2 linked regions of the Xenopus tropicalis genome follow. The protein of the gene in region 1 binds, or shares a complex with, the protein of each later gene. Links are inferred from orthologs where the notes say so. Each region holds a gene or a part of one and is shown in the gene's direction. Other genes may lie near its edges.

Region 1 (3,573 bases):
TTGGGGGTGCCAAAATGTTAGGCACTCCCCAGGGACTTTTAAATACCTTTTACCCTGACTGGCGCTCCTATTAGGAGAAAACCGCACCAGCCGGGGTACCTGCAGCGAGTGTTGCCTGGTGCAGTTCTCTACTAACAGGGGCACCAGCCCGGGGTAAAAGGTAAGCGATTTAAGTCCAGGGGCGTGCCTAACATTTTGGTACCCCCAAGTGACTTAGATACCATTTAGAGGAGAAGGAAAGGCTGAGTCTAACATTATAGGAGATACAAACATTAAATCTTATTCATAAGAGGATCTGAAATTCCCCTATATTTGTGGCTTGTTTTCATACTGTAATGGTTTTGAGCAGTTTCTGTTTTAAGTTGACATTTAATACATATTTTTAATATATTTATACAGGTCGGGCCATTTATGATGTCAGCCAAATTTCAAATATAAGTACAAGCTGCGTTAACGAATCGGCTTTTAATTCTGTGATGACCAGCAGACTGGATCCTCCAGCAGATGCCCTTGAGAACTTGGATATCAGTTCATTACAAGCTCCAGAAGACCTTCTTGATGGCTGCCGAGTGGGTGTTACATCTATGCACATCTAGAGTGCATGAATAATCAGAAATACAGCAGATAATTTTGTCATTTATTATCTAGGCTGTTTATGGTCCATGGGCAATGTTGAAAATACTGTGAAACCATAGGATACTTTTCCTCATAACTTAACTACAGAAGCTCCCATCATTCCATACCACATATAAACTTTGTTAATGTGACAATTCTGGATGTTGTCTTACTCAGGCGGATTTTTATTTATGTTGGGGGAGGCTAAGCCTCTCCAAACCTGCCTTGACACCTTTAAAAAAAAAAAATTGCAGAAAAAAACACAAATTACCCTGCCTTGATTACTGTGTAATGCATGTTTAGCGGAGTAAGGGGTGATGTATGGCTTGTTGCCCCCTGTCACTGCATGCAGGCATCTTAATTGACTCCTGATGCTGGTTTCTTCCCGAGAGATTAAGTCCCAGTATCACTGGAATTGGATTGGCTGAAGGTAAACTTTGAGGCACTCTCCAGCCAATCTAATTCCTGCATGGCTGTACCGAGATTTAAACCAGCAGCATCCCATGATGCTGCTGGTTTAAATCTCGGTACAGCCATGTTAGAGTGCTGGGATTCCTGTTTATGAAGTTGCTGCTGTTGACACTGGAGGTAATTAGCTTCTACTTCCCCCCAAGCTGTTAAGGTGGCCATACACGTAGCAATAATGATCTTTCGTGCGACCATTGGTCGCAGGAAGGATCGTTCCCACCCTCCATTGATGTTCAGGGCTGAATCGTCCGATATGGAGGGAGAAACAATAGAAATTCTACTTCCACCTGTCACCTCCATCAGCCCTAAACGTAGATATTGCTTGGGGTCCTTCAACGGCGCCCAATCAAAATCTTTTAACCTGTCCATTCAATGCGACAACTGATATCGGCAGCCTTTGCGATATTGCCCATCACGTCGAGCCACCATACAATTATTTAATGATTTAATGTTCCTGCTGTCATTACCCACTGCCTCTCACTGTATTGAATATGCCTTTTGTGTAATGGCCCACTGCCTTTCACTAGATGCTTTGGATCAATTAGAAGGTTGGTTTCATTTAGAGAAAATGTTGAACATGATGTATGTATGTTTTTATTCAACCTTAATTACTATGGTACTATATCAGTGAGCAAGAAAGCATCTGAAAATATTTTCTGGCAAGGATACAGTTATTTTAATGCTGGTAAACTGAAAGGTACTTTTGGAAAAAAGCACTCCCACCTGCACTTCTGCACTGTTCCAACTAAAGTCAGTGGGAACTGCAAGAGGTAGTTAGGGATCAATTATATCGGCGCAAATCTAACATTACCTGTAAGTCAGTCTGTGTATGGCCAACGTTAGCCTCCCCAAAAAATCACCCTAGGGTCATACTTTAGCAACTGTTTTGCAGGCAGTTAACTATCCATGAGCTACATGTAAATGTTACATTTTCACCCTCTTTCAGATATATTTGTGCGGGTTTGGGGGAAGAAAGTTGGACAAGTTGAGAAGGCTAATCAACAGTGGTGGGGGTGTGCGATTTAGTCAGCTTACCGCAGATGTAACCCATATTATTGTTGGAGAAACTGATGAAGAACTAAAGCAGTTTTTGAGCAAAACTCAACACAGGTTAAGTAAAGACAATCTTTTTGTTTTTCTGTTGCAAATCTTAATGGAAATTTCATCCAGGTCAAATATTGTGGTTGACTTGTGCCTTTGTCAGTGAAATTATTATTACTAAAAACAGTAATATTAATTAAAGTCTATCACCAAATCAAATCATTAAAGTGAAAATGTATAGTACTAATGTAATTTTATAATACACAAAATTCTTTATATCTTAATATATCCTTTTTATAATTAAACAACTTATAAATAGAACAATTCTTTAATTACAGGTTGATTTGTTTTTGTCTGTAATGTCCTAGAGGCCCTTCACCTGCTTTCTGCATCTCTCAGGACCTTATTTTTGTCTGCACATTTACAAATTGATAGGGCTTGCCAATTATACTTAAAGTGAATGGCAGCAATGCTTTATGTGTACTGTATCTGAGTAACTCTAAATGTGATCCTATCACTTTTTGCAAAAAGTGGTCACAGTATCAACTACATTGTATTGTTTAGATTCTAGGGAATATATATATAAATATATATATATTTATAAAAAAATAACATATGCATTTGTTTGCAGGCCTTATGTGTTAACTGTAAAATGGCTACTGGAAAGCTTTTCAAAAGGACATCTGCAACCTGAGAACATATATTCCCATTCAAGCTATCAACAAACTGAGCTTTCTTCACCAGTTCAGCCTGCCTTTAATTTAACTGCTCAAAAGATCAGTAGTACACGAGGGCCTCTAAACCACACTCACAACCAACAGGCAGATGAGGACCTGCTGTCTCAGTACACAGAAAATAACTCCACTTTAAGTAAGAATTATAGTTAAATATTTTATTGTTCATTTGATATCTGTCTTTAACCTTGCTTGCATGCTTGATTTAAATGTATTATACTGTATTATATTATGTTCTTCCAAGCAGTGGTTGTCTTCAATCATTTTAATCATAATAGCCCTGAACTGGATTGCACTAAATACTTGTTACACTGTATTACTCTAATTACAAAGTGCCTTGAACAGTTTCCCCATTATTTACAAAATTATTTTTATGCCATTTATAAAGTCGTTTTGCTTTCATCTTTGCATGAACAAAAAATGTATTTTTATAACAATAATTTTCTGTTGTTCTAGTTGAGGACGAACATCCTAAAATCTCTAATACCAACAGTATTTCTCAAATGAGCATGCATGAAGATATGACATCTTGTACCAGCCAAAGTGGTTTGGCGGATACATCCACCATAATTGAAGGAGGCTTATTCAGCCGTAAACAATTCTTGGTGCTGGGCTTTTTGGAGGAAGATGAGGCATGCATCATAGACATAATAAAAAAGAATGCTGGCAAGGTGCTTTCATCTCAGAAAAGAGCCATTGCTGATTATGCTGTAGT
Region 2 (2,952 bases), on another chromosome or scaffold:
TATCTATGCAGGTTATGCTAAATTTTAGGTTCCAGACAAAATACTATATGTCTCGAAGCAGAACATGTTGCTCGCATGTGCATTTATGTCGCTTTTTATATATATGTGTATATATATATATGTGTGTGTGTGTGTTTTTATCATGGTCTGACGTGCAGTTTTGAATCCAAAACTGTCCCACAGTATTGAGAAGCCGTTACAGCTAATTATATGCATTCAGCTGGTTATTAGATATTTGTCTCACCTATTGCTTGGGTGGGGTTCTTTAAAAATGAATTCACTTGATTCCCACTTTACCATCCCCAGCCACACCCCAAAAAAGTAGTAAAAATTGAACCTCAAAAGCCTTTTGTCATTAAAAAGCAAGAGATCCTATTGTAAGGTTAAGTTGCAAAGGAAGAGTTGTTTAATTGGAACTGAACTGGAAAGGGAACTGCTATGGCCAAAGCCTCTCTTGCTGACAATATCTGGCTGAATGTTACTAAAAACCAGCAATATGATTATAGTAGGAGAATCATTTTAAAAATATCAAAGACAGACTTTTTTCTAGTAATCATCTTTATTGTTACTAGTTATATAGGAGGCATTTCTTGGATGTTTAAAAAGCATACATCAGTATCTGAAACCTTATTGGCAAACAAATTGCTTCCCTTAAGCGCAAAATGCTTTTAGCTGTGAGGCGGGTAGCAAGAAAAATGAAAAAGAATCTGAACCAAAGCTGTCGTTTGCTTTAGACGTCAGCAGGGGGAGCTCAAGTTCCACCGTGAGTAAAGAAATGCAGTAACTTGGACATGGATAGAGCTACAGTAGCCTTTCTCACAGCGGTATATTTGTCTTGTACCCTGTTACAGAAGAAGCACACACTGTTATATGGATATAGCAATTGGTATAAGTATTTGTGCAGTGCTACAAACGGTCTTGCTGAAGACTTATTCATATTGTAAATAATTACATAAATTTGGTTTTGGTTAACTAAGCACCTGTAATGACCTGTTATCCCCCCCCACACACTTGTGTCAGTGCTTGTAGTGCTTGATAGATATTTAGATATAGATATAGAGAGAGAATGAGGCGACAGACATAGAGATTTTTTTTCATGATTATATTTTTGTCTTTAATGAAGTGCTTTCATGCAGCTAAATGTAATTACGGAAGCTGTCTTAAGTTTATGAATCTATCATTTCATTCCTCATTTGCTTAACTGTCTAATGCTTTTAATAGGGTTATCCAAATGGGTGCGGCAGCTTGTACAGCACCACTCTACCTTTAATGGAGCACTTGAGTCATTAAATGAATTCTCAAAAAATCAGCAGCAGAGAATGCAAATATCCAGTACAACCTGCGATGAGGAACCTTCCCTGGGAGCACCGTCGTCTTCCAAGAATACCTCTCCGACATCTTCATTGTTGGAATTCACAGTTCATCCTACACAAAGTGTCAGTGAATTCACACAACCAACTTTTTCCACTCAGAGTTCAACATTACCTCCGGAGATTGCAATTCCTTTAAGTCCAATCCCAGCATCTCTTGTTGGTACTGCTCCCAGATATAATAGTAAGTATACTGTGTTAGATGCTTATTGTGAAACTGAAATGGAGGCACATGTATTTTCATCAATATTTGGAAGTTAAAGGGGAACTCTGGCTTCCAAGCCAAAATTTGATTAAGAGCCCGGCACAACACAGACACCCCTTGTATACCTTTCACTATAATCTGTTCTTCAAATGTATGAATAAATACTATTTTTATATGCTGAAATCCAGCTGCAAAAACAGATCTTCTCTTCTTGCATCAATTGAAATCCTGGCAAGGGAGGAGGGACTAAATCATTGATGTTACAAATTGTAACTAGGTCTCCACAGCTTACAGACAGCATGCAGAAATGACATAACTCACAATGCATTGCACTTCAATGTTCTGTACTGACATCACATGTGCAGGGAATTGTGGGATTTGGAGGATGCAGGTTGAGGTTGAGGACAGTCAACTACTGTTACATTGATTTTTTTGAGTCTCAAAGCCAGATCAGTAGGGGAACAGGGGCTTAGGTAACTGTTCAAAACCATATTATTACATTAAAAAAGGCTGAAAAGGCTGCATATTTTTAATTTTGGTATATTGCAAAGTTGCTTGAAATAATGTCTACTTTTCAAAAAGCTTAAGTTATGTTTGGGTGAAATTCCCCTTTAAGCTGATATAGCAAGTGCCGCTATTCATTGTGACAGTGTGGCCAATGCATCATGTTCAAATTACTTTGTCAATCCATAAAAAAAGCATCTTGTAGTGTCGCTATCATTAATAACACTGTGAGTTATGAATGAGGATTTATTTTTAAACTGGCTTTGCAGTAAATTTAAATGGCATTGGCACCTCAATCCATTATGCAAAACATAATATTATTAATAAACAGTTCTTATTATTTATATAGTGCCAACATATTATGCAGTAATTTGTCCATCATACTAAGCCCTAGTAGAGTAATATGTCCAAACTGCCCCTCTGCATTATAACAAAGGCAGTGAGTATATATATATATATATATATATATATATATATATATATTTATATATAATATTATTGCCTAAAGCTAATGGCAGATCAGGTGGCTTGGCTTTATAAGCCTTTCACTGCCTGTTAAGACATCATTTGACTGTCACCTCTTGTGGGCATTTTTATGTTATTAGAGTGGATGACTGCACAGGTTTTTTAGCCAGTCACATGTGACACTAGCCTTAATTAGAATTGTATATTTTAAATAAGTACAGGTATGGGATCCATTATCCAGAAATCTCAGAATTACAGAAAAAGCCACTTTAATCAAATAATTCATAATTACAGTAAGGAAACAGTAACTTCTACTTGGAGCCAGCTAAGATGTAATTAAATGGAATTCAGATTTTTAAACATTTTCTTTTTCTCTGTAATACTAAACCGTACCTTATAGAAAGATAT

Evidence for each region. The genes of interacting proteins can lie anywhere in the genome.
Region 2: the proteins of topbp1 (region 1) and brip1 are in contact, whole or in part, in a crystal structure (PDB 3AL3), measured with the Homo sapiens proteins. The link is inferred for Xenopus tropicalis from reciprocal best matches to the Homo sapiens genes TOPBP1 and BRIP1. Residues at the interface, in NP_008958.2 of Homo sapiens: Leu1272, Ser1273, Ser1274, Leu1275, Asn1276, Pro1277, Arg1280, Gln1298, His1311, Leu1313, Arg1314, Asn1315, Glu1316, Lys1317, Leu1319, Gln1366, Arg1407, Gly1410, Phe1411, Leu1414, Thr1466, Glu1467, Ile1469, Ala1470; in NP_114432.2 of Homo sapiens: Ser1129, Tyr1131, Phe1132, Thr1133, Pro1134, Glu1135, Leu1136, Tyr1137, Asp1138.

What each region holds. Positions count from the first base shown.
Region 1 is NC_030682.2:52,594,004-52,597,576, forward strand, and holds part of topbp1 (DNA topoisomerase 2-binding protein 1), read left to right. Parts: intron 1-399; coding exon 400-569; intron 570-2,029; coding exon 2,030-2,193; intron 2,194-2,755; coding exon 2,756-2,994; intron 2,995-3,314; coding exon 3,315-3,573. UniProt on the Homo sapiens protein: Scaffold protein that acts as a key protein-protein adapter in DNA replication and DNA repair. Composed of multiple BRCT domains, which specifically recognize and bind phosphorylated proteins, bringing proteins together into functional combinations.
Region 2 is NC_030678.2:91,927,167-91,930,118, forward strand, and holds part of brip1 (Fanconi anemia group J protein), read left to right. Parts: intron 1-1,221; coding exon 1,222-1,554; intron 1,555-2,952. UniProt on the Homo sapiens protein: DNA-dependent ATPase and 5'-3' DNA helicase required for the maintenance of chromosomal stability. Acts late in the Fanconi anemia pathway, after FANCD2 ubiquitination.